2 linked regions of the Lonchura striata genome follow. The protein of the gene in region 1 binds, or shares a complex with, the protein of each later gene. Links are inferred from orthologs where the notes say so. Each region holds a gene or a part of one and is shown on either strand. Other genes may lie near its edges. The genes, in order: PIGQ and DPM2.

Region 1 (16,286 bases):
CGGGGTTTTGTGGCAGTGCCCCACTGTGCTTCACAGCTTTTGGCCCTTCCCAGCAGTCTTAACAGGGAGCTTGATGTCCCAAAGAGGATTAACTCCCTAATCCTCTTTGTGAGCCTTGTGAGCAAGGGAGGTTGCAGAGGAGGAGGGAGAAAGGAGAAGCTGAGGTGTCAGCTGAGCCTTTATCAGACTCTGAGGAATCTTTTCCATTGGTTAGCTAACCAGCAGCAGCAATTCTGGGGTGTCCATGCTGGTCAGAGGATAGGGCCAGGTCAGTTTTAGGGGCCAGAGTAGTTACAGCTCTTTGTTTTTTTGGAGGGATTTCTGTGATGCCTGAAGAGGAGCTGAATTCTTGCTCTCACCTCCATGGAACCAAGTTTAGGAAGCCCCAGCCCAGTCTCAGTCTACGTGAGGGATCAGATTCCAAGAGATGTATCCCGCAGCGTCCCCAAGTCCCTGCATGTTCCCATCTGGACACTGCAAGCATTCCGTGAACAGTGCGGGGCGTGCAGCCAGGACAGAGGCTCTGCTCAGGCTGGGGATCGTGTTTTCTGTGTCTAGATGTGCAGCAGATGCTCCAGCTTCCCACGGGAACCTCTTGCACAGTGCTGGGATCCGGCTTTGCCTTGCACAGTGCTGGGATCCGGCTTTGCCTTGCACACACACGGACACAGAGGGTGCGCTCCCGCTGCTGGATGAGCCGTGCCATCAGTCCGGCTGTTCGGACAGCCGGGGCCGCCTGGTGTCCGCACAAAGCAATGACCAGCCCGTGTCCAGCCCGTGTCCAGCCCGCTCCCTCATCGTCCCTTCAAAACTTCAGTCCCAGCAAACCTCCACAGCCCCCGGCCGCAACCTTCCTGTGCTGACAGGGTGTGGAGCAGGCTGGGGACTGCTGGCATCCTCAGGGCTGGAGGGCTCTGGTGTCCAGCAGGGAGGTTTTGCTTTCTCCACAAGTGACACTGGACTGACACTGTGGACTTTCAAGTCCCCCCACACTCTCACCAGTCACAGGGCTGTGCTCTAGGTGGGGAAATATTCTCAGTGGATGGGTTTGGGTTATTTTCCCACAAATCTGTGACTTGGTAGCAATGACCTTGACTAGTCCTGTGGGATATCCCGTTGGCTCCCTGCACACTTGTAGTGTGCCAAACAGGCACCGTGCCTGTCTCCCTGGGCACAGGGACTGGCAGGGAGCCAGGGCTTGTGTGTTCCTTGTGGACACACAACCAAGAGCTGCTGCCCCTGCACCAGGGGAGGAAAAGCCACGAGAGGTGAAGTTTGGCACTTATACCTGCAAGGAATGTGCTCCAGGAAAACCTGAACTGAACACGACCTCTCTTTCCCTTGGTCCGTCTCTGGCAGCAGCAGGCTGACCATGCCCATGTCCTTGACTCCTGCAGCTCCCAGTGCTGGCATGGGCAAGGGCTGTGCCAGGGCTCTGCCATGACACAGACCTCTCCTGGGGTCCGGGGTGGCTTCTGAACTAGTTGTGACAGAACCCGGTCCTGGAAAGGTGAACGGGAGCCCCAGGGCCAGGCTGTGTTTGTTTATCCTGGTGATGGAGCACACAACAGCAAAACAAAAGGTCAGACCCTGTTGCCCTGGGAGATGGTTTTTGAAGCTGCCTCCCGTCCTGCTGGGGCTCAGATGGAGCGGCCCCAGCGCTTGTCATGTCAAGTTAGTTTTGTAATTTTGGCTGGTAATAGGTCTGAGGCAGGCAGTGTGAGCTTCAGGGGTAAATTGATCCAGGACCAGAAGGGCCCTAAACACCTGCTGAGAAGAGCACCCAGCCCTGAGACTTTGGAGGCAGATCCCCATCTCACAACTCCTGCAACCAGACAGACCCAACCTGCTTCCTTAGTCCTCAGGGAGGCCCATGCAGCTCCTCCAAGCATCCCAAAACGTGGCTGAGTCTGACCAAAACTTCACTCACGTTTAGCCCGTCTGAATAATGAACAGACACAAACTTCTTCACGACTTGGCCGAGTTTAAGGTGGGTGTTTGATCTCACTGTGGGCAAAGGTGGGGAGGGGACTCTCAGAAAGCACTCTCAGGAATCACTGCCAGGGAGGGAGGGCAGGCTCTGAGCAGCCCCTTGTAGGCTGCTCCTTGCTAACTCTGCTTTTACTCCTGACCCTCTTTGTTGGGGCAGAACTAATACCACCATCAACTCCAAGCATGGTTGTGTGCAGTTGTGGAAAGCCTGGGTTGAGCAGTGTGGAGATGGGAAAAGGGGGCTGTTCCAGCAGTCCTGGCTGATCTGCCTCTTCTAGAGATGCTTCTCCATCACTGCCCCTCAAAGCCTGAGATGGCAAAATTCACCAGTCTCTTTTTTGTAATTTGGGAAACTGAGGCACACAGCGGCACTGTCCCCATGGAGGCAGTGGTGAAGCCATGAGGAGCCCTGATTCACCTTGTGAGCATCCCTATCCCACCCCAGCAGCTGCCAAGGGTGAGGAGCAGCAAATCAGCCCTTTTGCCTCTACATAAAAGCCCCAAATCCCCCGGGCAGCTGGGTACCTCCCTCTGGCAGGAGCAGGCAGGTGGGACACAGACTGATCCTGGGAGAAAGGCACCTTGTCTCTGGGCAGGAGACCAGCAGGCAGAAAAGCCACGTGGAACAGCCCTTGTCTTGCTGCTTCTGGTTGTCAGCACAAGGAGTTCTTGTGTTTACCCAGACTTCAGGGCAATTGCCCGTCACTAACAACACAAAATCCCTTGGTCCCGCTGCCCTGAGCCCAGCGAGGGAGCAGGACAGAGCTGGTGGGAGGCCAGCACTGCCAGGGAAGGACAGGCAGCCCCCAGGACAGCAGGACTAAGGTACAGGATCTGTGCTGCTAAGCTTGTATCCACAGGTGGTTGGCCTGAGCTGTATAGGGGACAGTGTCAGAGCCCTCTTCTTGGGTTTGGACCCCAAAGTAGCTCAAACTAGGCTCAGGACACACCATCAAGGGTCTGATGGCAGCTTTGGGTGTCCAGTGCCCAGGAAGAGAGGTGGATGCTCCTGAGGAGGGGTGTGTGGCAGATGGCACATCATCTCCCCAGCAGTGACTCAGTTTCCCCATCTGTAAAATCCAGCTTCTTGGATTGAGGACTTTGTCCAGCTCTGAAGGAGGACCCTGACAAGCAGTCCTGTGATATGGAGGGCTTGTTTCCACCAAGCAGATCTCTGCTGCTGGCATAACCAGCACAGGGTAGAAAAAGCTGTTCCCAGGCTCCAAGACAGCAGAATTGGATTTCCATCTGTATTCTCTCATCCCTGCCATTGCGTATTTGCATTTGGTAACTCTGCAATTATTCAGGGATGGCTTTTAGATAGTTGAAGTATTTGCACATGAGAAGGACCATTGGTCACCGTACGCCCTAGCTTTCTTCAGCTGTGGTCTGGGGAAATGCCACTTTTGTAAGCAGCATAAGGCACATGATCCCGGCAATCATAGGACGTGGGGTAATAAAAGTGGAGTGATGGCTTGCAAACAACTCAAAACAGTCAAGTGTGCCATTATAATTTTAATTATAATCACATTTAAAGCAAAGTAAAACTATGCCTCTCCAGGAGCTTTAATGAGGTCATATGTCTCTTAACATTTCACTTGTCAGCTCCTGGCTGTGTGCTGTAAGCCATGCTCCAGCCATGCCTGGGGATAACATAGCAAAGCTGGGCTTCCATCACTGCCTAGTTTTAAGACTGAGGAAAAGTGTGCAAAAGAAAAATTTGGGTTCTCTTGTCTGAAAAAAATGGTGAAGATTGAATGCATGTTTCAGAGCAGAATCTCCCCTTTTCTTCCTGAAAAGTTGTTGGCTACTTCAGAAATTACTTGATCAGCAGGTACTAATCTCTGCTCTCTGTGACAGGGACAGGACCCAGGGAATGGTTGGAGCTGTGTCAGGAGAGGTTTAGGCTGGATATCAGGAAAGGTTCTTCCTCCATAACACGCTGGTTACGCCTTGTGTCTCCAGAAGCAGGAGGTTCTTCCTTCAGGTTCTTCCTCCAGAATGCTGGGCACTGCACAGGCTCCCCAGGGAATGGGCACCGCCCCAAGGCTGCCAGAGCTCCAGGAGAGTTTGGACAATGATCTCAGGGATGCCCAGGGTGGGATTGTTGGTGTGTCTGTGCAGGGCCAGGAGCTGGACTGGATGATCCTGACGTGTCCCTTCCCACTGAGGATATTCTGTGATTCTGTGAAGCTATTTGGATGGGAAAGGGGCTGCCTGGAGCAAAGACATGCCCTGGCCACGTTTGACATCTGACATGTGGGAGTCGGGGAATGATCACCCTGAGTGACTCAAGTGTTATCATGGATTGAGCTTGGTTTGGAGAGATGAGGCTCACACAAAATAGGGGTAACAAGTGTTAAAGACCTGAAAGAAGTCATTATCTCAGGAACTGGGGAGTCTGAGGTCCCATTCAATAAGTTCACACACAGGGCTCACCTTTACACATAAATCTTCAGGCCATATCTGACACCAGTTGAGCTGTTGGAGCTGTTGGACCTTTTTGGGTTGTTCCTCCAGGTGTAGGTCCAGTTTGCTGACCCTTTAATTTCTATGCCATGGTCCTTGTTTGTCTTTATTTTATAATTAGCTGGCAATAAAGTGACGTGGTCTCTCTGGCATGAAGTGAATCCAGAATAGCACCAACACCTTGACCCTGGGTAGATAGCAAGCACCATAGCATGGCCTCAGAGATGGCAGCAGGCAGGGACAGTCATGGTCCTAACTGCTTCCCCCAAACAGGGACAAGAGATTTGTCATGGACTACACGCTGGAGACCAGCCAGCTAAAGCAGAAGCTTCTGAAAACAATCTACAGCCTCCAGGTGAAGTCATTTACCACACTGCAGTCAGCCAGCCCAGTGCTGCACAGCCAGAGTGGCATGGGCATGGTGACCCAGCACCAGGTCCACCAGCTGGCAGATAAGGCCAAAAGCCTGTGCAGAGATCTGGACAACATCAAGAACCTCCTCCACTATTGCCAGGATGACTTGGTCCGGCAGATTCCCAACCCCACCGGCAGCCGCTACGGGGGTGTCAGTGGAATCCATTGCTCCCTGGATGGCTCCATCTACGTGACAGCTGAGAGTGCTCCCTGGGTCCACGTGCTCAGCAGCACAGGCCACACACTGCAGTCCTTGCCCTGCCAACAATCAGGCAAGGGAGGCAGCATTTTCTTGCCGGAAGATGTGACTGTGACTAGGATGGGAATGGTGGCTGTAGCTGACATGGTGAATGAAGCCATCTGGGTCTTCAACCCTTACACCAACCTCTCCAAGAGGGAATGGATAAAGGTCAGGAAGGTTGGCTCCCCCAGGGGTATTGGAGTAGATTCCATGGGCAAGATCCTGATAGCAGATTATGCACAAGGTCAAGTGCACAGCTTTGCTCTGGACCATACCTTCAGGACACTCAATGTGCACTCTGTCCCAAATCTGCAGGGACCTCGCTACATCAGTCCAGTGCCCGGTGGAGGCTTTGTGGTGAGTGAAGAGTGTGGAGATGTCAAGGTCTTCATGAGCAGCTGTAAGCTCCTCTGCTCTCTCAGCAGCAAATATGGACACCAGTTTGGCAACCCTGCTGGGGTCTGCGTGGATACGGATGGCAGCATCCTGGTGGCAGACGAGCAGCGCCGTACAGTCCACTTATTCCCAGAGCATGGAGCTCCCATCTGCCTGGTGTCCACGGGGCTGCGGAGGCCTGCTGGCATGGCTTGCTCCTCCTCTGGGCACCTCTTTGTGGCAGACACAGTGGAGAACTGTGTCAAAGTCTTTAAGTACTGTGTGAGACCCCGGTACAGACCCACCAATGCTGGGACATCACGTGCTGACCCCAACCAAACACACAGGTGGGGAGGGGGGATGGTTTCCCTGCAGCCCCACTGAGCTGTGCATCTGCTGGGGTGCTGAGAGCTCCACTGCTCTCAAAGATTCCTGTAATGGAATCATGGAATGGTTTGGGTTGGGAGGGACTGTAAAGACCATTTCATGGCAGGGACACCTTCCACTATACCAGGTTGCTTCAAACCCTATCCAACCTGGCCTTGGACATTTCTAGGGATGGGACATTGCCCCAGACCTGACTGCCTAAAGGCCCCCAGCTTCTCTAGGACTAGACCAGCTCTGGACCCACCAGAGTGTGTAAAGGATGACCCAGCAACTCAAGAGTTGGCCTTGCACTGGTGCCTTGGCAAACTTGTTATCACAACATCCTTGGTTCCTTGAGTGTTTTCCAAAGCTGATATAAATATTTCTCCTCTCTCCATGTGATTTTGATGTGCCATGGTCCCATCTTCCTGATGCCAGACCATGACCAGAGAGGCAAGGCCATGCTAGAAGTCCATGCTCGCTCACAGAATCATGGAATCACACAATGGTTGGGATTGCGTCCTTAAAGATCACCTAGATCTACACCCTGCCATGACTAGGGACACCTTTCACTAGATCATGCTTCTCCAAGCCCTGTCCAGCCTGGCATGATTGAGCCAACTGGTCTGTCCTAATTCATTCCCAGGCTATTAGGGTGGGTTTTGCAATCAGAGAACAGCACACTGGGTCTGCAGCAGACGTCAGGAAAAGGGTAAGATGAAGGTAACTCCTTCTGTGCTGCATTCCTGACCTCTACAGGGAAGCAACAACCACTACACGGAGTAAATTCCATATGGAATCGTGGAACTCCTCAGACTACCTCACATCCTGGGGCAGACACCATCCTGTTGTCCTCTGGAGAGGAGGGCTCAGCACGTCTTGCTGCCTTTATCAGCAAGGGCCAGGGGAAGGTGGGCAGGGTGTGCCGGCACAGGGATGGGCGTTTTCCTCTCCCTGCTCCAGCCCTCGGTGTGGGCACGGAGCTTAATGACTTCTCTGTCTCTAATGGTGTCCCACACCCAAGTCACCGTCTCTGATCCCAAATGATCCCTGGAGAGGGCCTTGCTCCCTCCTGGCTCTGGAACAGGCACTGGACACAACAGACACCCTGTGAGGTTCTCCAGAACCCCTCTCCCCGCAGCGTGAGGCAAGCAGCAGGGACTGGGGCTGCATGGTCTGCAGAAACAGGGGGATCAGCCTCTCCCATTGCAGGAAGCTGAGCTCCCTCCCACAAGACTTAATCTCCCCTATCTTATTTCCAATTCTGTGGCATCCAACAATAAAACTAAACCCCAAAATCTTTTATGTAGCCCACCCCGACTTCTGCACCTGCTCTCTCTTTCCATGTGGGACCTCTTCATGCTGCCTAGCATCTTCCCAGGCTCACTGGCCCAAGCCCACGGCCGGATCACAGGACAAAGTTCTTGGGCACCCGTGGGCACCCATGGGTCTCTGCTGGGCCAGACATCCACTGAGGCAGTCAAGATGGGGGTCAAGAGGGTCCCATCAGCACAGCCGAGTCCCTCACCAGTGGGATGGGGGACAACGGGGTTCCCTGAGGAACAGTGAGTCCTTGGACTTTGGGGATGAGGAACAACGGGGTCCCACATGGAAAGGTGCCTGGCCTGTGGGATGAGCGACAGCAGGGTCCTGTGAGAACAGCGGGGCCGCTCGATTTTGGGAACAGAGGACAGCGGAGTCCTGTGAGCACAGGTGAGCCCCTGGCCTGTGGGGATGGGGCCAGCAGCATCCCGTGAGCACAGCGGGGCCCTGGCCCCGCTCCAGCTGGGGCGGTGGCAGGGCAGGGGGGCACTACCGCTCCTTATCGCGCGGCTCAGGCGGCCCCGCCGCCCTCGGGCCCGCGGGAAGGCGCCGGGTGGAGCCCGGGGAGCGGCGCCGGCGGGAGCGGGGCCGGCGGGGCCCGACAGGCCGGGAGCGGGGAGCCGCGGCACCACGGAACGCGGGCGGCGGGTGGCGGTGCCGGCCGGGCCCGTCCGGCTGCACGACCCGGCGGCAGCGGCGTCTCCGGGCAACCGCGGGCGGAAGCGGCGGAGCGGAGCGGGCGGCGGGAGCGGGGCGGCGGTAGGAGCGGGCGGGCGGTAGGAGCGGGCGGCGGGAGCGGGCGGCAGGAACGGGCGGCGGGAGCGGGGCGGGCGGCGGGAGGAGCGGGGCGGCGGTAGGAGCGGGGCGGCGGTAGGAGCGGGCGGTAGGAACGGGCGGCGGGAGCGGGGCGGGCGGCGGGAGCGGGCGGCAGGGGCGGGCGGTAGGAACGGGCGGCGGGAGCGGGCGGGCGGCGGTAGGAGCGGGCGGGCGGCAGGGGCGGGCGGCGGGAGCGGGGCGGGCGGTGGGAGCGGGCGGGCGGCGGGAGCGGGCGGCAGGAACGGGCGGGCGGTAGGAGCGGGTGGCAGGAGCGGGCGGGCCGGGCTGGGCCGCGCGCGGAGCCTGCGCGGGCACCGGGAGCCCCCGCCGGGCCGGGTCAGCACCGGGCCCCTCACGATACTGAGCGGCTGGAGCGTGTCCAGGGAAGGGAACAGAGCTGAGGAAGGGGCTGGAGCACCAGGAGGGGCTGAGGGAGCTGGGGGTCTCAGCCTGGGGAAAAGGAGGCTCAGGGGGACCCTGTGGCTCTGCACAACTCCCTGCTGCCATCTCTGAGGCCATGCTATGGTCTCTGCTCCCAGGGGAAATGGCTTTAAGTTGTGCCAGGAGAGGTTTAATTTATATATAGATAGAATAGATGGGGAAATTTCTTCGCGTAAAGCATGCTCAGGCACTGTCACAGGCTCATGGAATGCCTGGCCTGGAAGTGTTCAAAAAGCCGTGTGCATGTGGCACTTGAGGGCATGGTTTAGTGGTGGTGGTGGTGCTGGGGAATGACTGACTGGACTTGGTGGTCATAGAGGGCTTTTCAACCTTTACAATTCCACGGTTCTATGATTCTTTATATCCTGGCCCTAACCCCCCTGCAAGGATCATGGGATGCTCAGGTGTGGGTCTGCTATGGGATCTGTCCCCCTTGGCACCCCTTGGCCACAGGACACTCTCTGGGGTGAAACCATGGACACATCCCACCATTCACCTTCGCTTTTCTAACAAAAACTCTGGAATCCATCAGTCTTAGGGCCCTGTATTCATTTGTTGGTTGTATTAACACATTTTAGGTGGTGTTTATTTTGTTTGTTTTGGTTACCTGAGGTCATTGCATTGGTGCTCTCAAGGAAAGGTGGATGTTTTCACAAGAAATAGGTGGATCTCAAAGATTTTAGGCACTTGATGAAGAGGGACTGCATGAGCATTGGTAAGATTTTTCTGTTAAAATTAGCAGCAGTGAAGCAGACTGTGATGACATTTGACATTTCAGTCTATTGAAATGAATGAGGTAGATGCATGACAAGTCATGGATTTGGGAATATGAGAACATTAACATAACAATAGTTGATCAGCCAGGTTTTCAACTATCAAGATATTTTGTGCAGCCTGAAAGTCATATCAGAATCTTCTCTGCCATGCCTCAAGCAGCCAAAGGGCAGATCATTTGACCCAAGCTATAGCCAGAGTAGTTGGGTGCACAAAACTATGTTAATTTTAGAAGCTGGGGAAGGTGTAAGAGGAAAAACGCACAAACTAGAGAAGATAAGGATGTCAAGTGTTTCTGCTCCATGAGAAGTTTTCCCAGAGGATTGTGGCTATCTTTAAAAACAATCTCAGTGAAAAATAAGTGTGTGTATGAAGAGTCAGTTGACAGTTCCTTTCTAAAATGTCCAGTGGATGGACAGACCTTTAAGGACAGTCATGCATAGACACTGAGAGTCTCTTGTAGCAATACTCACAACAACTCTCTTTGTTTCGATGGGAAAAACATCATGGGACTGTCTTTGATATTTTTCCTTGGACTGAATTTTCCCTTTTACTGCAAAACTGCAAAGTACATCCCAAGACTTCCCTCTCCTGAGGAATTTGTTGGCAGTATGGTGCTGGAAGCACAGTGTTTACAGGTTCTGAATGCACCCAGCATTGGCCCTCACTGCTCCAGAGATCCTCCAACCCCCAGCAAGATCTAGAGGCCACAGAGGGACTTAATTTTCCCTCTGTGACCAGAGGGATAACCTCAGAGACCTGGAGTCTGTGAGGAAGCAGGATCTCAGAAGAGCCATAGATCATAGAATGGTTTGACATAGAAAGGACCTTACAGACCATTTAGTCCCATTCCTGCCATGGGCAGGGACCTTCCACTGTCCCAGGTTGCTCCAAGCCCCATCCAACCTGGCCTTGGACACTGCCAGGGATGGGGAGTCCACAACTCCCCAGATTACCCCACTGTGGGTGATTAACCCCAGAGGTTAATCACTCCCTATAACTGCTCCTCCATCCCTCCGAGTAGGAAGTTCCCAGGCGCTGAGCTTTACTGGCTCAGCTGTCCTCTCCTAAGGGAGAGGAAAAAGCCACCAGGCCCTTCCCTCTGCGCATGGTCTCTCTGTGTTGTAAATACCCTCTGTGTTCCCTTTCCAACTGACTGGTCCCTTGCAGAGGAGCAGCCTCGGGGCCCTGTGGAGTTTCACATCCCTAACAAAGCGCTGAAGGACGGGAAAGGACAGGAAAGGACAGCGGGCGCCGGATGCTGCCTGTTCTGCGCCAGCGCCCTCCTTACTGCAATTATATTCCTGTTAGAAACCTCCACCTTATTTAAAGAGACACTGTCAACTGCCTCAAAGCTCCTTTCTGGAAAAGTCTCCCAAGGCCACTGAGATGTGTTCTTAATGATGGGGAGAAAAGCACTAAGGATAAAGAGCGCTGATAAAGTTCTCATCTTTTAGGCTGTTGAATCTAATGAATTAAAACTACTTCAATTAATCACTATAGTCTCTTCTGACAAAATTTTTGTCTCAGTTTCCTGATAAGAGGAGTGAGGCAGGAGGAGCTGAGTGATGGGATCAAGGTGGCTCTGTGAGTTTGCTGCAGAGATCTGGGTTGTAAGGTGGTAAAGGAGACCGAATAGCATGAACTGGTGTTTGATTGTTGATAGCAGCAGGAAATACTCCCCAGAGGCACCACAGTGAGCTATGATGTAGTCCCTTCTCTAGGAGGTGCTCCAGCACATCCAGCATGGGATTCAAGATCTTAGGCTAGGTGAATGCCAGATCTTGGCTGGTCTGATGGGCTGTGCTTATCTGGATACCACCATGAAAGACCTTTCCGGGACTGGAAGAAGGGCTTTACTGGGAAACTCCAGGCTCACCTTCCCTCACTTCAAAGACTGCAGATCATTAGGAGCTTCCTGAATGTGTGTATGTGTGTTGGCTGTCACTAATGTCATTACTCAAGTGGTTGGGCTTTGTGTTTTCAAACACGCTTAGTTCTCCTCTCTGGTGGCTTTGGCCGGCTCAGATTTTCCTTATGTTTACTCACCATCCTCAAGTTTAATTTTTGTGTTTATTGGCAGGTGTATGTCCCTGCAGGGTCACTGCCATGGTACTGAAGGTGTTCTTTCCATCGTGCTGCTCCTCAGCAGACAGCGGCATTTTGATCGGCCGCTGGATCTCCGAGCAGAACTCTGCTGTCATCCTTGCTGTGGTACACTTCCCCTTTATTCCTGTCCAGGTGAAGCAGTACCTTGGGGAAGTTCAGCGCATGACTAAAGTCAGTGTTTCTGTGCTTGGCTCATGGAGCAATAGCAAACAGGAGAAAGAAGAGAGTCTCAGTGAGTTCTTGGAAGACCTTGGGACCATATTCTGCCATGAGCCATGGATCCAGATAAGCAAAGAGGGAGACAGCAAATTCTGGAGCTGTTCTATCCTTCAGAAACACTCTAAGAACCCTCAGGAGGAAGAAATCATCTTGGTATACTATGACCAGCGCAAGGTGATGCTTTCCCATCTGCACCCCCCTTTGGACACAGCTGGCCAGAGGGCAGAAGATGCCTCAAAGCTCTCGGCCATCTTTGACACGGTGGCCAGGAGCCAGGTCCTCTTCATGACAGACAGGTACGACGAGGGACCCATCAAGCTGACCCACTGGCAGTCGGATGGGGTGGAGGCCAGTATCATTGTGGAGCTGCTGAAGCAGGCCTCGGTGCCTGCCTGCATGCTGCTGACATTCCTGCTTTCACTGCTCTCTGGGATCTGCAGGAGCAGGTAGGTGATATGACATCACCCAGCTTGTTTTGTCTGGAAATGTAATTCCCGTTTAGGCATTGCAGGACTACTGCTCAACCCCAGTGAGAAATGTGATACAAAATTGTTCTATTGGAAACAGGCTGCTGCAAGAGGTTCTGTTAGAGCTCCACTCCAGCAGGAAATCACAAGGCCAAAGGCTCCCTCAGAACTCTTCATGGAGCTGGGAGGTTTTCTGGGGAGGCATTCATGTCCTCCTCATTTGCAGCAGGGATAGTTCAGCTCTGCTTCAGTTTCATCACAGCTGAAACAGTGGATTTCCAGCTTTTCTGTGGCTGACATGAGGCTCTCTTTAATGGCTCCATAGCTGGGGACTCCCTCCTCCCCATTTGCTGTAAGTCCCTTTGCAACTGTGGAACATCAGCAAATACTGTTTCTAAATCCATCCTCTCTCCAAGAGACTGTGGTGCTGCAGCCTTGGCACTTTACAGAAGTTTAGAGGTATTGCTGCTCAGCCTGAATCTATGGTGAAATCCTGTTCTCACAACTGTGAGCCTGGATAGATGCTCCAAATGTAACACGTGGCAAATGCTTGGACTGAAAGCTAGTTCTGAGCAGATTTGCTGGGAAGAAACTTATAATCATGGAATCATTTACCTTGAAAAGGCCCTCTAAGATCATCGAGTCCAACCATTAACCCAGCACTGCCAATACCACCACTAACCCATGTTTCCAAGTGCCACATGTTTTTTGAATACTTGCAGGGATGGTGATTCCACCACTGCAGCTGCCTGGAGAGGTTGTGACAGAGAGTGGAGTTCTGGTTCTAAGCTGCAAGGGGACACTGTAATTGATGAAATTTTGATAACAGCTGTTACTGTATTAATGGATAAATCTTTTTAAGTACAACCTAAAGGAATGGAGGTATTTAACAGATTTCCAATTGTGTGATACAGTTGTAAAAGAATTACAGTGAAACTCTTCCCATGCAAAGATTTTCTGAGCAGTTTGGTTACACAGTGTGGTACACAAAGGAAAAAATGTCCAGTTTTGGATTATTGGAAGAGATTGAGATTCAAACCTGATATCATCAAGGACCCCTGTGTCCTGGGACTGCTCTGTAGGTACTGTGTATTAGTGGTTCTTAATGAATGGTAGTTAAGTCACAACTTTGTGGTTGGGCAGAAGATTTGGAATCAGCTCCAAGGGTCCTTTTTCTGTCTGTGTGCCACCACCATCAGACAGGATGATCCTTTTCTGCACAGGCACTTGGTCTCACTTGGTCCCACCTCAATTGGTGCCAGGATTCAGGCCAGGCTTGGAGTTAGGTTAAGCCCAGGCCTTGCTGGCATCCAGTCACAGTCTGCAGTCTAAACATAAGTTGGGAGCTCAAGCTCAGCTGGTGGGTTGGGCCCAGATAGTTGCTACCAAGCTTCTCAGGAATTCTGACTTCAGCTTTTCCTAGGGCCAGGATACATGTTTTGAGGTAGAGCAGCAGCCAGGTGTACCTGGCAGCAGGCAGAATGCAAGGCTTGCTGTGCATAAACCTACACTGAGCCTGTCCTTAGCCTTGGGAGGCAGAGCTTTCTCTCTCCTTTGTTTTACTCACCCACAGTATCAACTTTATATTTACTTGTCTCATATGTGTTTTAAAACATCAGTCTTGGATAACAGAGTACCTGGCTTTATTACAAGTCTCCTTCTTGACCTTCTAAGTTCTTTCAAGGAATTTGGTTCCATTTTGTACCACATGATGTTTAGTACAACCTCCTTGATGTCAACATGTTCGAGGCAGGGAGGGTTCAAGACGTCATGTGCAGGTGTCCTTCCAGTCCCTTCCTTCCCATGTTGGGACAGGACATTCCATAAAATAAGATTCACAGGGGTTTTATTTCTCCTTCAGGTCACAGGACTTCTTTCTTTCTGTTTTTTGTGATGTTAAGGGATAGTCAGCTTTGGAAGGCTAAAGAAAGAAATCAGCAATGTCTTCTCAGGCTGGGGAGGCTTGGGCATTTTTGGATATGCCCCTGTTGTGTTTGTGTATTTGCATGAGAGAAGCAGGGCAGCAGTGTTGGAAATCTCAGGGAGTCGCTGCCATCCCTCCAAGCTCATCCCGTGTTCCCAAGTCCTGCACATCCTGAATTAAGGCATTTCTTCAGCACCACCGTGTGCTAAGGGATGGCCATTGCGATTCTGCTTCAGAGGAACATGGGGGCAGCATTCCATTATCCCTGAAGATCTCTGCAATTGAGGACATTCGGATGTTTTAGTTTTAAGGCAAAAAATTCCATGTGCTTGTTTAAAAAAAAATCTGTTTGTAAGCACCTCCAATTCCTCATCCAAAAGGAGGCACTGCTCCTGCAGTTTCTAGCACACGGAGGAGTTTTGGTTAATGGACCTTAATATTTGCATGTGATCCAGATTCGGAAAGATTGCTTTTCATCTGGTATCTGAAAATTCCCCTCTCACCCTTGGGAAAAAACTGAATTGGAAAATCAAGACTTACTCATGGAGGCTATGTTAATTTATTGCTAAAATTCCATATATTTGGAAATACCCCAAAGATCTCCTGCTACTTAAATAATGCAATGACACAATGTCACTGGATTTTTGTTGAGTTTTTTTATCTGGTTGGTTTTCCATTGAAGTTCTGAAAATGGTTCTATATACTGTGTTGTAAACAAGTGGGAGTATTTCTAGCAATGCACAGTCAATGTGCAAAGGGGTAGGAGACCACGCAAGGAATATTTTTTTGCTTTCTTCCTCAGTCCTCACAGAGAGGAGAGTTCCCATAGCACATCTTGCAGCTGCTCTATTGAGCTTCTTGCAGTATGTTTGTATTTTTATTTCAACAAGTATGTGTATGTATTTCCAAAGAAAGTATGTGAGTGGAATAGAGGCTGTGCTTGTGGTGGTGACTGAAAAGAGAAGCACAGACAAGGACATCCATGTGATATGTTTTTGGCCCCATGGTGTCCAGTTGAGGAGCTGAACCATTGCAAGCTGCACAATTGTGTGGTGCTCTGGGGATGAGGCTGCTTTGGGAATCATTCCCACTTGTGCAAGACATTCCTCAGGCAGAAAACAGCAGCCTGTCCTTTTCTTGGCCAGGAGTGGCAAACTTGGGGTGACCCAGAGACTGGCTGCCTCCAGCTTGAGGAGCAGCCATGGATGGCGAGAGACACCCACTGCTGAGAGAGGATGAGATTATCACCCAGTGAGTGTGTAGTGTAGCACAGGGCCCCAGAGCTGCTGCTTTCTGCCTGAGCTGACAGGATCTGGCAGCTGGTGTTTGACCCATAATTCTTCACCTTCAGCCATCTGTACATAATTCCACAGGTAGAGCGTTCCTCCTTCCCCTTCTTTACATTTCAAGTGCAATCTCTGCTCTAGTCAAGTTTTGCCACACCAGAGTTTGTAACCACTGAGCTGGGGCCTAATTGGAAGGGAAAACACGTCTGCTCTCGTGCCTTGGTGAATCTGTGAGCGCAGGTGTGTGTGATCGGTGGCCAGAGCAGTCACCCCCTCTCCCTCCCCTGCACGGTGCTCTTTTCTCCACCGCCTCAGCTCCCTCCTCCTGACAAGTCAGCTGAGGAACAGTGCATTCATTTGTCTCCAAGGTGGGAGGCTGTAGCGCAGAGCTGAGTAACTTGGAGACCTCAAATTAAGAATGATTCACAGTACACTGCGTGTGTTTCAAACCCAATGTGTCTGAAATTTGAATGGGGAGGGAGGGGGAAGAGGGGGACTTCAACACTTTGGTCCTTAAGCTGACAAAGGATGCACAAAGTGGGGTTCAAAGGGCTCAGGAGGGTGCGGGGAGGAAAGGGACAGCAGCCTCAGGGCACTGAGCAAGGCTTGGAGGAACCATACCCTTTGATTGGTGTGAATTGTACAAATAGCAGTGGACACCCTAGTGTGCTCATCCTGGCCAGTCACGGAGGCATCTGCTGCTGGGCCTGGGCTGGCATGCTCTGGGTGAAATCCGTGGAGGGCACGCACAGTTTGCAGGAACATCCATCTCCAGGCCGTGCTCAGCAATGATCCAAGCAGCTGTGCAATTTCCAGGGTGAAGCGGGATATAAGGAATAATGGTATTGTGTGAAATGAATGTAACCTGAAAAACTGTGCCAAAGCAGCGCAGGAGAGTAGATGAAGTGACTAAAAGTGACCATGGATTCCTGGACCTGTAACAAAAGCCAGTACATCACTGTGAAAGTAGTGCAACAACTGCACTGGCTGGTGGAGTGTACTCCTGTGTACAGGAGAGAAGTGAACCAAATTACATCCACATTAGAGTTTATCCCCCAAACCAAACCTGA
Region 2 (15,803 bases), on another chromosome or scaffold:
CAGCTGAGCTGACAGACCAAAGGGCTGCTCCCACAGCTGCTGCAGGAACAGTTTGCTTGCTTAAGGTTGTAAAAGCCTTAAAAACCTGTGAAGCAAAGTCCCCAAAGCACCTGGGTGCATGCAAATCAATGATAAGGTGATTAGGGAGGGTTTTTTCCTGGTGAAGGCATGCTGTGAGTTTCCTGAAAGCTTTATAGCCATTCAGCTGCCCACATTAAATATTCTGTCTTCCAAAATACTGCAGAGATCCCCTCTCATGTAACATCTTCCCTCAGAGCTTTGAGTGAGACAAAATATTTTCTCACTCCTCACTTAAAATCCATAATATGATCCTTTAGTTCCAGTTCAGACTTCAGGCTACAGAGAGGTTAGAGCTCCAACAGGAATATTCACTTTGCCACGCTGCACATGCTGTGGCTTCCACCCAAAAGCACTTCTGGAGGAAGGGAGGGAGCTCCAGGCACTCACAGTTCTGCCCTGCAGTCAGCATTTACAAAGGGATGTTGCAGGCTCACGGAATAACCAGAAAAATAATTCTGACAGCTGGAAAAACACTTCAGTTTCACTGAAAAGGAGTTTAATAGTCAGTTAAAAAAGGGAAAGGTTATTTGATTGCTGTAAAAGTGGTCTCATAGGGGGACAGGTTTGCTGGGATAAAAGGTTTAATTTTGGCCAAGGAGGTGTAGGAGAAAGGAAGCTGGACAGCAGCAAACTAGTTCCTGTTTGTGAAGCCAGGTGGCCAGTGGACACGTGTTGGGGGTGAAAGGGCAGTTCTGGATGGTGTCCTGGAAGACAGTGCAAGTTCTCAGCTTGTTGTCCTGTGTAAATGAATGAATGGCCTCTTTTTGCCTTAATTTACCTCAAAAACTTGCTTTTTCTTGTAATGCAATCCAAGGTAGGGAAGACACCAGTCTTGCATGTAGGAAAACAAAACCCAACATCCCGTTTGAGCTGCTGGTCAGAGGGCTGCCAGCTTCCCCCTGCTGAGAAGGGTGGGATGGACAGAATGATGCCTGCTCCCTGCCTGGCAGTCTGTAACCTCCTTCCCTTCTGATTCCAGGCCTCCTTCCACTGCCAAATCCATCACCATCCCGGGGCAGGACTCTACTCTGCAGCTGACCTGCAAGGGCGAGGGAACCACCAGCAGCAGCAGCTCCTCCACAATTGGCTCCCTGCGCCAGGCCAAGCCAAGAACTGCCATTCTCAGCTCAGGTCTGAATGCCCAGCCTGGAGCCATGCAATGTGTGGCTGTGCCTGGACACTCCTTTGTTTTTCCCAGCAGTTGCAAGCACAGAAACTTTAATTTTGCATATTTTCCCACACCCATCCTCAACCCCATGGCTCATTCAGAATATTGAGAGTAACCAAGCCATCTAAGTGGGAAGAGGAAGGTTGACTATTTGCCACATGCATATTTCTGTTACTGGGGATAATTTGTTCTTTTTGCTGGGGATTTAATAATTCATGCACTGCTCATCCCTGCTTTCCATTGTGTTCAATGACACTTGCCATTGTTCTGCACTCAGCTATTCTGTTGCTCCGACTTATCTTCTAGAGAAGTTCCTCTGAAGGTTTTAGAGGTTGGTTTAAGGTCTAGTGGCCTTGTTCCAGCTGCTGATGCAGTTCTTTGGCTGCTGTATGAGCCTGTTTTCAAGGGCACTGCATTTTCACATCAGTTTTTGTCCTTCCCAGCATATTCCAAATGTGCAGGCAGATACACTGCACCAAAATAGCACTTGAGTCTCATCCCCTCAGTTGACAGAGCACGTGGTGCAAGTGATGTTCTTAAAAAGCTGGCTAATGTGCTACGTTGATGCCATTTATGTGCTTCTGGATAAGCTTCCTGCTTATCCAGAGAGACAAGCAGGACTAGCAAAGGAGCAGGGGTTATGCTGAAGGGTGGGTATCAAATTCAGAGATTATTTAAGTGGTACAGGCTCTCTCACAAGTAATAGGAAGGGTAAGATGGTAACAGAAGCACCCAAACAGAGGCTGAAATACTTTACTGCCAATGGCCATCTGATGCTTACTTGGTCTTAGTTTGATGCTTTTACCTATGGATAGTTTCAGACTCTACTTGTCCTCCTAGATGCTACCAGGCCCCAGAGATGTTTGTAAGTTCACGTGCTGGATAGAAATAGTGATAAACTTGACAGAGCTCACTGTGGTCTTTTCTACTCCCTGGGTGTTTCTAATCCCTGTGCTGGCCTGTACAGCAGGGCTCTGGCCAGTAGACTGTCCTTTCCTTGATCTGTCATTCCAAGATCAGTCTTCACTCCCAGCTGATCAGTGCACCATGTGCTGGCTTGGTTATGGTGTAAACAGTGTCCTCTTTTCCTTGGCAGGTGTCCCAGAAGAGTCAGATCAGAACCTGTCCAGCCCAGAGGAAGTTTTCCACTCGGGGCACTCGCGGAACTCGAGCTATGCCAGCCAGCAGTCCAAGATCTCTGGTAACCACTGATCCACACAGCTCTGCCATCTTTTTCCTTCCTGCAACCCCTGTGAGAGTGATTTTCAGCCATCTCTCTCGCCTGCTCTGTAATACCAGCCTCCTGTTCAGTCCCTGCACATGAGCCCATAGATGTTTAACCCTCTGTGTGCAGGAGCAGAAGTGCTGCTGTGAAGCTCCCTGCCCGTTACCTGTGCTGCCAGGAGTGGGAGCAGCAGCAGCTGAGGTTTGTGATCCTTGTGTTGGCAGGTTACAGCACGGAGCACTCCCGCTCCTCCAGCATGTCCGACCTGACCCACCGCCGGAACACGTCCACCAGCAGCAGTGCCTCGGGGGGACTCAGCATGACCGTGGAGTATCCTGAGGGGGAGAGGGAACACAAACTGGAGAAGCCACCTCGGCCCCCCAGACCGCCCCTCCTGCTGGACAGACCCTCCCGGTGAGTAACAGTGGAGCAAAGACCTTTCTCTGGGAAGGAGAGATAGAACCTGCTCCTTTGTCTTCAGGCAGCAGTGGATCAGATCGTGGCCACTGCAGAGGAGACTGTGGCCAAGAAAAGCAGGACAGTATGTAGAAGCCTGTGTCTTGAAAAGCTGAGTAAGTTTTTCCTGGATTTCCTCTTGCCAGGAGAAAAAAGGATTCAATGGAGAGTCACCCAACCCGAGTGGATGACACCAGGATCGATGCTGATGATATAGTGGAGAAAATAATGCAGAGTCAGGACTTCACAGATGTCAGCAATACTGAAGGTGAGAGGAGAAGCCTCAGAGGGGATGTCTGGGTTGTTCCTCTTGCAAGGCTGCCAAGCGTTTACAGTCAGATCTGATCTGCCATGGGCTCCCTTCTCCTTTTGACAGCTATTTGCTTTCAGTGCTTGCTGGGTGTTTCTGTGGTTGATAAACCACGTGAGTTTGTGAGCTGCACATGTATGTACAGATAGCACTTGCTGCTGCTCCACACATGACAGCAGAGATTGAATAGTAGCTCAAACATGCAGGGAGAGAGAGGAAAAATACTGATTCTCAGCACAGTGGAGATCAGTTGCATCAGCTGTCTGCACTGCTCTAGTGGCCTTCATCCAGGGTCAGGCCAAGGGTATTTATCAAACAAGGAGAGCACAACTGGAGGGGAAGCAGCACATCTCCACAGAAACATGGGTTACCATGTGCTGGTGATCAGGTCTGTCGGAGAGCTTAAGAAGGGGTTTCCTCCATTGCAGTCACATGTAACTGCTTTTGTTTTCAGTTTCATTTTCCAGTTTAGCATATAAATTAACCTTTAATCTGATTTTTTTTTTATCTGAGGTTTTCTGTTAAGTTTTAAACTTGAGCCTAGCTTGTTATCTGTGCTTCATTAATTTACCATTAGTCACCTTAAATTGTTGCACATGGAAGCACACTTACCCTGTGGGGAGTTATACCTCACTCAGTGTGGGTTAGAACTAGACTGGATGCAGCTGCTTCTCACCAGCAGAACAGGCTGAGTTTCTCCTCCAGTGACTCTACCAAAGCAGTGTGAGACCCCACATCTTATCTGTTCAGATGTGTATAAGCTGACCAAGAACTTGGAATTGGATAAAAGAGGAATTGCCTTAAAAGAGGCAGTATGACTGAATTAATATCTCTGCCTTTATTCGTCCAAAGCTGCATGTTGTGGAGGCTCCCCTTTGGAGCAAGGGAAGGAGTTCCCAGGGGCTCAATGACTGTGGGAACACCACCAGAAAGTGTGGATGTGCTCTGCTGAGACACACTTGTTCTATGCTGATGGTGTGTCTGGGAGGGGAGTTCCTGGCAGCCTCAGTAGTTCTGGATTTTGATGTCTGTCTTCCTCTTCTATCTGCAGACAGTAACCTGAGGTTGTTTGTGAGCAGAGACGGAACAACCACGCTGAGCGGTATTCAGCTGGGAAACAGGTAGGTTTCCCAAAAGGCTGGCAGACAGAGGGGCTCCAGAGAGATGAGTGGGCTCTGTACCTAGAAAACTTCCACTTTTTGCTACAGGAGACATCATGTGCTACATATGGTGGCTTTATTCCCACATTAACAACCCTGGGATCCCTTTGGTGGCAGGCTGCAGTTGCACTAGAGTATGAATGCTGTGCTCAGCAGGAGCTCAGGGGGATAATGGGATCCTGGTTGCTAGATCCGGGAACAGAATCCTTTAGAAGTGAGGAATTAAAGGACAAAATGGTAGAGGCTGTTTCCCGTTTGTTCCAGAAGGAGGGAGCTTTGCCTCCTGCTGGCCTGCAGCAAAGCTGCACCAGAGCAGTCCAAAATATCAAAAATGTCCCTTCTCCCTGCCGCCTCTTGCTGTCCCTTCTCCCTGCCACTTCCATAATCATCGAGGGCTTGTTCTCTCAAGCCTTCTGAAGCAATAAAACTTTTTCTTACCACTGTAGCTCTTAGTACAGCTCTTGGCCAGTTGTGTTTGAGGCTTTGCTGCATCGTTCAGTTCAATTAAAAGGAGCAGTAATGGTAATGCAAAGATGTATCAAAACTGGGAGCACAGCAAAGCTCTGCACACTGGCTTTGTTCTGGATAGGATACTCCCCCTTTGTTGTGTCACACCCAGCTCTCTCCTGTGCTCTCTTGCTGACTCGCCACCTCTTTGTCCCCTCAGTATTCCAAGGACTGACTTCCTGCAAGGCTAGCTCATTACTGGCAGTGCTGAGTGGGCTTAGAAGATGTTTGAGTGGAGAGCTCTGAATCAGAGCTTGGTTGCTAAAATGACTGTGAAAAATAACCGGCCCCTTTCCCCCTCTGCCTCCCCAGGGTCTCATCTGGAGTTTACGAGCCAGTGGTGATTGAAACCCACTAAATGTGAAGAACAGGGTAGAGCTGCTGGACACAGGCCCCCTACCCAGTCCGCTGCCACATGGATGCCAACCTTTACCTCTCTTCATGCAGCATTCCAGAAGGGATTTCTCCATGCCCCTCCCCGTATGTTTGCACTGCAGAAGTACTCCGAGACCACTCCAGAACATGCACTTTCCCTGCATTGGCATTGTCCTTCTCTGCTTCCTGGTCGTTCCAGTGCATGCCTTCCCCCTGTTCCTGCTCAGACACAAGCTGTCTGTGGGACTTATCCTTGGGCTAGTCCCAGAGGATGTTGCTCATCTGCATCCCTCATTCCACCCATTCACTTGCAGCAGGGGACTTCTCAGTTTCTGTCTCCCCAAAGCATTGGGTTATACCACTGTGAACTCTTCAAACCACTGGGGGTGGGGGAAACCATTCTAACCAAACCGAGAGCTGCTTGTTGGGGACATGGTGACATGGCCACTTGCAGGATGCTTTATTCCATTGACTCTGCAAGGGAACATCACCTCCCAAGGCAATGGTTTTACTGAACAAGGTATGCTGTGGTGTACACTTCACCTTCCTATCCTCACATCCCCAAACAACATCTTCTCATAGGAAATACTTCCCAAAAGTGCATTTCAGAAAACTCTACCGCAATCCAGCTGGGAGTTAGTGAACGGTTAAATGTGAGTGCTCGTCACACCACTGACTGCAGCAGCCCTTCCACTGCTGGGCATGGAAGGGGGTGTTCATCAACTAGAATGAGCAGGAGCACTTTAGAGGTTGTAGATTTTACCTGGAGGAGGCTTCTACTCACTATTCCAGGAGTATAATCTGTGTTTGCTGGACTGATTCAGCAAATAGTCCTGTTGGAGCTTGGAATATAAAGCCTCTTTCCTTTTTTTTCTTTTTTTTTTTCCCCTTGTTTCATTGGCTCAGGAAGGGAACTGCCCTTCTTGGACTGTGAAAAGAATCTCATCTGACAACCCTTTGCTAAGCCAGAGCTGGATGCAGTTGACTGCAGTGGTCTCTCTATTGTGGTGGTGATGTCAATTGCCTCTCTTGACCTGGGCTAGTAAGGGATTTGGTGTTGGCTTTTTTGTCTTGTCAGCAGAGATCTGTGTCTGTGCTAGTTCCTTCTGGGGCTGGGGAGAAGCTACTGTCTCTGCCTTCAAGGGTAGAAGGGGTGTTTGCTGCTGCATTAGCCACAGCAGCTGTTCTGACCTGCTCTGTGGTGAGTGAACTCTTCTGACAAGGCTTCAAACTGTTCTGTGTTTGATCTTTCAATTGCTCTTCTTTGGGTTTGGTTTCTGCAGTTGTTTGACACTTTTCCTTGCAGTGTGTGGCAGCGATGTCGATCCCTTTCAGCTCCCACTTGGAGATTTCTCCTGCCAGCGAGGATCTGGGCAGCCCCCAGCTGTGGGCCAGCAGCAGGCTGTGCTTGCAGCCCTCCCTGTACAGAGCCCCTGAGCTGATAAGCTATTTCTGTGTAGTGCCCATTCCTCTTTTGCCAGTGTTCTGTGGTAGCACTCGGCAGCCGTGCCCTCGGAGCAGTTCCACACTCAGGACCTGGCTCCCCTCTGGCACTTGTGTGTGTGTGTACAGGCACACACTCGTTCTGTTCAGCAAGGAGTGACTTGTAACTGATCACATTGTTCAAATTCTTAGTTATTGTAAAGCCTCTTTTAAAGGAGGGGGAAAAAAAAAGCATTAACTGTGGTCTCTTTGGCCAGAATGCATGCAGATGAGCTACTGGAAAAGGGAATCTGACAGAATGAGAAACAAGGAATGAAAGGGCCTTGATTCAGCTTTTTTTTTTTTTTTTTTTTTTACCCTTCTAGCTAAGGATGCTGCATGGGGAGGGTGCTCAGCAGTGTGGTAAAACTATACAGTTGCTTACTCTGTTTTGATGGTTTCTCTCTTTGAGTCAAGAGGTTTCTTTCTGTGTTTGGACAGACCACATATAGGATATGCATCTTTTCCACCCTTTCCCTTCAAAGGGAATTAAATTTGAATTAGGGTAAAAAGGGGATGCAGACAACACCTTGGTTTGGTTTAATGTAGGAAAAAAGTGTTGGATTTTTTGAGACTGTCAAGAACAAAAGCTCTTTCACACTTGCTAGGTTTTTTTTAATGGTGATCTCTTCTTCATTCAGCCTGGGTAGGTTTGGCACTCACTTGCAGGCTGCTGAGCATCCTGCCCTGTTCCTGGGGTGCCACATGTCTGCAGGAAGGAGAGAACTGCTTGTCTTTCTCTCTCCCTGGGGCAGTGCCAGGCAGCCAGGCCTGGCCTGACCGTCTGCTCAGGTCAGGGCGAGGGCAGAGGAGGCTCGGACAGCAGTGGCTGCTCTGCCCTCTCTGTGGATGGCCGTGCAGAGCCAAGGCTCTGGCTGCTCCCCAGGGGCCAACAAAGGTCCTCGGGAAATCAGATCCAACCAAGACTTGAAAGGAGCAAGCATAAGCCAGGAAAGAGGCTGTAACCCAGCTCATTTTGCTGCTTTGCCTCTGTTCCCATGAGAAACAATGGCAGTCACTGTCAGAGCAGTTGGGATCCCAGGGCCTTCTTCTGGCCTCCATTAGCAAGAGTTGGCTGCTCTGAGGCACTGGCAGCTCGGCACGTCACGAAATCAGTGGGACAGAGGGAGGAATATCTTCCCAGCAAAGCAAGAGGAGAAGCAGTTGAGCTTTTGAGAGCACTGGTCTCTTCTTCCCAGGTTGGCAGAGGCACAACCTGCTCCAACACATCACTGTGGCCAACCTGGGCACGTCTTTGGCTTCTCTTCCAGTGGCTTGGCACATCACTACTTGCATTTCTGATAACTGTGTCTCATAGGGTATTTCTTCCTTGTCTCCACGTTAGTCCCTCCACAGATTCTGGTCTTTGTGTGGCTTTTTAGCTCTCCTGCCCCTGGTTTTGAGTGAGTAAGTAGTCCTAGTCATCCAGCCTTGTGCAGCACAGCTGGGGGACCTGGAGCAGACATGGAGGGAGGAAGGAGCAGTCTGTTCCTATTTGTAGATCCCATGCAGAGCTCCTGCTGTGCATCCAGCACAAGCAGTGCCCAGCAGTCCCCAGGCAGCCATGGGCACCTGAGGTGGTGGCTGTGGGGTCACTGGTCCTACACACTCCCTGCTGCCTCAGGAAGCTGCATCTCACGAGCACTTTTTTCCTTGTGGCATCATTGCTGCCTGTTCCTTGTTGGACTTAGAACATTTAAGAAGTGAATCAGTCTCCAGACCCAAACCGCTGGCTAGTTTCCTTTGGGTTTTTCTTTTTTGTTGTGAAGTTTATGGAATTTTTTTTTATACAAATCCAGCAGGCTGGTTTTTTTTTGACTGCATTAATTGTTTCATTGATATTTTATTTCAGGGGGGCTTAGAGGGGAATGTTCTTCCCCACATTGTTCCCCTCCTCAGGGGATTCAGAGGTGGCTTAAACAAGCAAAAGGACCTTATTGGCAAGACTCTGCATCCCCTGGGTCTCTGATGCTGACGAGCAGGGCTGCTCACGCCTGGCTGGCCCTGGAGAGCAGAGCTGGCTCTCTGCTTCAATCTCAGGATCAGGCAAAACATGTGGGCTCTGCTTCTGGTTTCTCAACCTTTAGTTGGTGGAAGCACATTGCAAAGCGTTAGGAAATTCAGTGTAACTTTTTTACTAACTTCTTTTCTTTTTTTAAAACCAATATAAAACTGAGTGTCCAGAAGAATAGGCTTAGTTGTTACTTGGTGAAGGAGGTGGATTTCAGTTGGAAATTGTGATGGGAAAAGGGAGGAGAAGGATGTTGCTCCCTCATCATCATCTTTTGTATGGTCAGCACTTTAAATGGGGGCCTCGTGCTGTTCTGACCCTTGGAGTGATGGGCAGCAGGCGTGTGATTTCTCCCCCCCTTGTTGCCACATCACTTTGCCCCCTGCAGAAAGGTTAACAAGCCCTTTTAAACGTTTGCTTCAGTTTTTAGAGGGTTCCAAACCAGGTGGAGGCCCGAAGAAATAGTATTTCATTCTCATCTAAATAGGAGGGGTTGACTTTTTATTTATTTTGTCGTTGCTGTTTCTTTTTAAGCAGGTGGCAGTGCAGCTGGTCTCTGCACTGCTGCTGGGAACCTCTGGGAAAACCTCACTCCAGGTACGCTAGAGCACCACAGTTAAACCCCTCCTGGTGAGGGGCTCCCCCTCCCCTCCTCGCTGCCTTACCCGGGGGCTGCAGACCCCCTCCACCCCCCTGCCCCTCCCTGCTGCCCCACCTGGTCTCTAGCCGAGTTCTTGCTCTGGTGACCGAGCCCTTTGGACAAGGCCGGTCCCCAGGGACAAGTTCCTACAAACTCTGCCTGGTCGCAGGTGTTTGTCCTTGAAAAGCCACTTCCTCGCTGCGGGGAGGGATTGATGGAAGCAAAATTCCCTCCTGAGAGCTGTGTCCATCAGCCCCCTCCCTGCGCCCTCCCATCCCGCTGCCCCGCCGGGAGGCAGCGAGCGTGGAAACCCCAGGAAATGAATGGGAAAGGAAAAGGAATTGGGGTGAAGCTCTGAGCAAGGGATGTGGCTGAGCCTGGTAACTTGCCTCAAACACGTGGAATAACAGTAGAGCCCATATTTTTGTGGGGGGAGGGAGGGGAAGGGGAGATCATGTTTTATTTTCTTGAAAGTGAATTGAGCTTGGTGACCTTTGGCTGAGGCGCACTCGATTTGTATCAGATTCTATAGAGAGATGGCTGATATTTTTGGAAAGGGAATGGGTCTATGCAAACTTCCAAAATTGCTTGAAAGATAGTTTAACTTTTTTTTACTTTCAAAATCTAAAGATAAATCTAACTTTTGTCTTAAAGCAGAAGTGCGTTTAGAAAGAGAAGCTACTTCCACTGCTCTATTTTGATGATGATTCTTGGAAAGTTTGGGCTGGAGGGAATGACTATTTTTCACCATTTCTATCTTGCTCCTCTAGTTTTTTTGTTTCTTTTTCTAACGGAATGCTGTGCCGTCTTTGATTCAACAGATCGTGTTTGTATTTTCTGTATCTGGTTCCTAATGTAGAGAAATAACATATATGAGGAAATCAGTATAATGTCAAATGTTGTTATGGTTTGGGGGAAAAATAAAGGTTTTTTGGTACTTCACACTGATTCTTCTTGCTCTGTTTCTTGTTTTAAATGCTGTGGGGTGAGAAGGGCTTGCTCGGACCTAGAACAGTTTGGCTTTGCTTTCTCGGCTTGCTCTGGCAGCAGGGAGCAGAGATCCCTGCCAGCCCTTCCCTGGAGATGGAGGGCAGCTGGCAGCACAGCACCAGTCCCATGGAAGCAGCAATCCAGGGAAAAGGGGACACCTGCCTGAGTTGGCAGCAGTGTCCTGTGTTCTGTCCCAGCCTGGGCTCTGCCTAAACTGCCTCTCCTACTGGGCCTACCTCACCAGGCTTGCCTGGGGGATTGGACCCACAGCCCAGCAGGGCTCCAAGGAATAAATATCTCATGCCTGAGTAGCCCCTCGGCCAGCACAGGCTCACCACCTCCTTAATGGAGAGGGAGGCACAATCAGTGCCCAGACACCCAATGCTGATGGCTGACAGGGCTCGAGGGGAACAGGAGCCCTGAGAGGAAGCAGCCTTTGCCTTTTCCACCTTCCCAGAGCTTTGGCCACACAAAGGTCAGTGCACCTCTGAGTCCCAAGCATGGTCTTCCCTTTTCCCTTGTTTCAGGAAGGGGAGGCAGCCAATTCTATGATTCTGTCGTTTGTGCCTGTCCCTTGGCTGTTTGGTTCAGCTTGTTCCTTTCCTCCCGCTGCCCCCGGGTGCGTTTGGAGGCACGGCTGGGGCGTGGGACGTCAGTGTCCCGGGGACTAGAGCCGGTGTCGGGATCCATCCCCACCACAGGGGCCGGGCACAGGTGCGCGATGCAACCAGAGAACGGCGCTCGCACGGAAAGGCAGCGGCACTGGAGCACAGGAGCGCCGAGCGGGGCAAGGACCGCAGCCCTGCGGGAGAGATACGGACGGCAGCGGCGCTGCTCTCCGCGCTGAGCGGGCCGGGCCCGCGCCCGAACCCGGCCCGGCCCGTTCCCGCCGCTCTCTCTGCTCCGTTCCCGCTCCGTTCCCGCCCCGTTCCCGCCGCTCTCTCTGCTCCGTTCCCGCTCCGTTCCCGCCCCGTTCCCGCCGCTCTCTCCGAGCGTTTCGCGGCTCCGGGAGGTGACGGGGCTGGGGGCGGGGCCTCGCGCGCGCCCCGCCCACCGCCGCTGCCGATTGGCCGCTCCCGGGGCGGGGTTGGCGGGCCGCTCGCTGATTGGTGGCCGCGCCGGAAAGGCGGGGCCGGCGGGCGGCGGCGGCGGCGCCATGGTGAGTGCGGGCCCGGCCCGGAGCGGCGCGGGAGGGAGGGAGGGGGGCAGGCTGGGTCCGTCGGTCCCTGCTCGGCACCGGGGGCTTGGGCTGAACCGCGGCCCGGAGCCCTCGCGAGGCTCCCGCCTCTGCGGAGAGAGCGGCCCGGCCGCCTCCCGGGAGCGGCCCTTGGGGTGCGGTGTTACCTGGCCGGGGGAGCTCCCGCGGCCCGGCCCGGCCCGGCACGGCACGGCACGGCCGCCCGCGCTGGCGCATCCGCCGCGGTCTCCTCCCCGCGGTGCCCTGCCCCTTTGCCCGGTCGCGGCAGCAGCCGCAGGTGCCCTGAGGCGCTCCGGCACAGGCGCTGCCGGGGATCCCGCGCTGCCTCTCCCTTTGCAGGCCACAGCGACGGACCAGCTGGTTGGGTTCGGCTTGGTCGCCTTCAGCCTCGTCCTCTTCGTTTACTACACCCTCTGGATCATCGTACTGGTACGGCTTCCTCTGGCCAATGTAATCCCAGTCACGCCATACTCAAGTGTTTCCCCGGCCTTTGTTCAGGTGATGATGTGTCTGTGTGCCCGAAGGGCTCTTGCCTTTGGGTTAAAAATTTCAGGGCAGGTCTTCCTCTGTGCGCTGGCACTGTCCTTATCCCATCTGGGTGTTCCTGGCCTTGCCTGGGCAGCACCAAACATTGATCGTGGTGCCCACCTGCTGTTCCAAGATGGGCTGATGAGCCAGGGCTGGATGAGCCATTGGGAAGAGCTGAAGCCTGGCCCTGATGGAGGTGTAGTCATCAATGTTCACATTTGCATCCCCCAGATTCCTGGTTCTGGTGGGAGATGACAGAGGAAAACATAGAAAGAGACAAATCTTACCAAATGTGTAAGGGAAGAGAAGAGTTTAGGGAATGCAGGGCTCTGGGAAAGTGATTGTGAGGCTGCCCAGTTCTGGAGACACATCAGCTGAGGTCATTAGTGATTTTCTCCCTGGAAAGAACCTTCTCCCCATGAGCTTTCCAGGTGTGAGAGGCCAGGTTCAGTCTGAACTCCCAGCAGCTTCCCCTCCAACTCCAAGCGATTTGAATTCCCCTTTTGTATCTGCTCGCTCTGCTGCCCCGTCCATATCTGTGCTCCCGGCATTCCCAGAGCTGCAGGAGCATTGGCTGCTGTTGGGAATCCTCACAGTGCTCCCTAGCGTCCAGAGCCTTCCACTGGCCTCTGCAGGGCGATCCTGCTGGGATAACCACGGAGCAGAGCCGGTGGCAGCTGCTCCTTTCTGCAGGGACAGAGGGATTTGCTGTATTGTGCACCAGCAGCTCTGCCCACCCCGAGCCCCCGGGGCTGTGGGACCCTGTGCCAGCCCCATAGCCCCCCCCCCATTATCCACTGAACACCAAAACCTTCATTTTGTCTCTGTGGCTGAGCCACCTGCAGCTCTGGGCACCCTTTTTTAGCCATCTCACAGCAGGTATTTCCATGTTTCTCCCAAAACCTCGAGGCTGCACTCGAGGTGTTGTGCCCACCTGTTGACACCCCTCTGTGTCCCTGCAGCCCTTCATCGACAGTGACCATGGGATCCACCAGTATTTCCTGCCTCGGGAATATGCAGTTATCATCCCTGTGGCAGCCGGGCTCCTGCTGCTGCTATTTATAGGTGAGAGTTATTGCTGTGGTTCTAATTAGAAACTTCTAAATTAGGAAGAGAGAAGAGGGTTGCTACTGGTTTAGCTAACGTGTGACACTTACACTCTCTGTGGTTACTGTTGCAGCTTCGCCTGGCACAGGGACTTGGGGCTGCTTGTGATTTTTGGCTGTTTGAGCCTCTGGACAGCAGAATTGTCTTTCTCTCTCTGCTGAGATTCCGTTTCTCATTGCCAGGTGTTGTAGAAGGGCCTGGAATTAAGTTTCCTACCTCAATTGGTTCTCTCTCTCTTGGCAGGTGTTTTTATAATGTTTGTCATGTGGAAGAGCAGGAAACATGCCAAGAAATCAGACTGAAGGCCTGGCTGAGGAGATGAAGAGGTGCCCACGCTGCAGCATCATAGCCAGGAAAAGACTTTTCCTGCAGCTCCAGGCAGACATCTCCAAGGTGCCCAGCACTGAGCTGCTCCCACGTTCCCTCCTGCAGAGACTAAACCTGTAGTTTACAATTCACTGACCAAAGAGAAGCAGGATTCATCCAAGGCTCATCAAGCGAGGGACCAGAGCCCCTGCTGAGGGACCTGCTCCCCAGCTGGGGCTGCCCTGCCCACTCTGGGCACTCCTTCCCCTCAGCTCTGGCTCAGCCCAGTAGTTGTTCCTTCTGGGAATTTTATTTAAAAGTTTACCTACAGTTTGTGGGATTTTTTTCATTCTAGTATGAAAGGAGAGAAATGAGACTTTGGGCTTGCTAAGGACAGGTTTTCCTTCTCCATTTGCTTCTGGAAAGACTAATCACAGTGCTGGGGGCTCTTGCCCTTCTGAAGAGGGACTCCCATGAGGCTGGGTATGCAGAGGGAGCAGGGACAGTGCTGCCCCATGTCCCACCCAGCTGAGGGGGTGGCGAGGAATTGTCCTGGATCACAGGGAAGTGCTGGGTGTGGTTCCCATCACAGCTCTCAGTCCTGGCTGGATTCCTGCCCTGGACGAGGCTCCATGTGCCAGCCAGGCTGGGGCTGAGCAGGCAGGTGTGGAGGCAGTGTCCTGTCCCCGGGGTTTTTCCTCTCCTGGCAGCAGCTGCTGCCCTGGCAGCTCCCCTGGAGCACAGCAAGCAGCATCACCCTCAATAAACGTCTGTAAGTCTCGCTCCCTGTCCTCTGCCCATGCCACAGGGTGCCACAAGCCTGCCAGGGTGGGTTCAGCTGCATGGCCTGGGCAGTGCATGACATCCTGCTGAAAAGGTCCTGCTGGTGAGGTCAGGCAGGGAAGCACCAGAGACAACCTGGCCAGACTTTGTGCTGCCTCTGCCATTCTTGGGGATGCTGTACCCTGCCTGGGGAGGGCAGATTTAGGGCACTCTAACCCTTCATGCATGTACTGTGAATTTCCTGCCAGCAGCATGCCCCACAGCCTCCCATCCTGCCTGGGGTGATGCTGGTGGCTTGAGAACACCCCGAGGGCCACAGCTGAGCCTGGCTGCAGGAGCCAGCAGAGGGTCCAGAGGTGAGGCTCTGGCTGCAGGTTTGTTTCCAGCTCTTGCAGAGGCTGCCAGGACATGCTGAGCTGTCAAATTCCCTGCTGCTCACCTGCTGGCCGGGGCTCAGCCCACCCTACAAGGGTGGTTCTGGGCTGGGGCAGAAGGAATCAGAGGGTGGAAGAATTCAGTGGTGACTGAGCAGCTGCCGGTGTGACCGCCCCCTCCAGCCTTGCTTCCTGTGCAGGAGCCCAGTGGTGTCCCTGTCATTTCCTCTCCGTTTTCAGGCCTGTTCGGGACAGTGTGGGGGATTGGTTTCAAGGTTACATCTCATGTTTCTTAATCTCCAGTGGGAGAAATCCAGTGCCCCCCCTGCCCCGGGCCAGCGGGCAGCTCGCTCTGGGGACACTTCCCATGGGTGCTCCGGCTTGGCCCTGGCAGGACGGGCTGCAGGTGATGGGGGCAGCCCCTGGGGCCATTGGATGGGGTCTGGGGTGCCAGGGTGTCCCCTGCCCTGGTCCCGGTCCTGAGCCGTTCGGGACCCTCGCGGTGTCCCTGGGCTCATCGGGAGCTGCTGCTGCCCGGAGGGGACAGGGGGGCTGCAGAGCTGAGGGAGCCTGAGAGGGCAGAGCCAGAGGGGGAAGGAGCCGTGGGGTCGCTCCCGAGGCACAGGGCAGGGAGAGAGGCGGGGATCGGTACCGGGACACAGGAGCTGGGCGCGGGGCCGGTCCCGGTGCGCGGGCACGAGCCCGCGGGCGGGCGCGCTCCCGGGGAAGCGGGGTCGCGGGGCGGGGCGGGCGGCCGGGGGCGGTCCCGGTGCCGGTTCCGGCCGTGCCCGCTCGGCTCCGCCCCGCCGCGGCCCACCGGCCGCACTCCGGGCGGGATGCGGGACCCGCCGGTGGCTCCCGGCTCGGTGAGTGGGGCCAGCACCGGGAACCGGGGACGCCGCGCCGGGGGAACGCCCCGGCCCCGGCCCCGGCCCGGCGGGGCGGCACCCGCGGAGGCACGGGGGGAGCTGGACTGCACATGTGGGGGACCCCGGGGAACGGGAATGAGAGTGCGTGGGGGGATCCCGGTAGCGGCCTCGGGGAAGTCCCGGCACGAGGCGTGGCGGGGATCCCGCTAGGCGACCTCGCCCCGCTGAGCCCG

Evidence for each region.
Region 2: PIGQ (region 1) and DPM2 share a complex: the UniProt entries of both Homo sapiens proteins name them as parts of the glycosylphosphatidylinositol-N-acetylglucosaminyltransferase (GPI-GnT) complex. The link is inferred for Lonchura striata from reciprocal best matches to the Homo sapiens genes PIGQ and DPM2.

The regions. Positions count from the first base shown.
Region 1 is NC_134618.1:2,694,316-2,710,601, reverse strand, and holds the start of PIGQ (phosphatidylinositol N-acetylglucosaminyltransferase subunit Q), read left to right. Parts: upstream 1-7,850; 5' UTR 7,851-7,939; intron 7,940-8,045; exon of another isoform or gene 8,046-8,050; intron 8,051-11,294; 5' UTR 11,295-11,320; coding exon 11,321-11,985; intron 11,986-16,286. UniProt on the Homo sapiens protein: Part of the glycosylphosphatidylinositol-N-acetylglucosaminyltransferase (GPI-GnT) complex that catalyzes the transfer of N-acetylglucosamine from UDP-N-acetylglucosamine to phosphatidylinositol and participates in the first step of GPI biosynthesis.
Region 2 is NC_134624.1:737,637-753,439, reverse strand, and holds DPM2 (dolichol phosphate-mannose biosynthesis regulatory protein), read left to right. Parts: upstream 1-11,495; 5' UTR 11,496-11,561; coding exon 11,562-11,564; intron 11,565-11,942; coding exon 11,943-12,032; intron 12,033-13,093; coding exon 13,094-13,196; intron 13,197-13,481; coding exon 13,482-13,540; 3' UTR 13,541-14,327; downstream 14,328-15,803. Other genes in the region: EEIG1 (early estrogen-induced gene 1 protein), read left to right, coding at 1,061-1,212, 2,346-2,450, 2,699-2,888, 3,077-3,198, 4,292-4,361, 5,220-5,265. UniProt on the Homo sapiens protein: Regulates the biosynthesis of dolichol phosphate-mannose. Regulatory subunit of the dolichol-phosphate mannose (DPM) synthase complex; essential for the ER localization and stable expression of DPM1.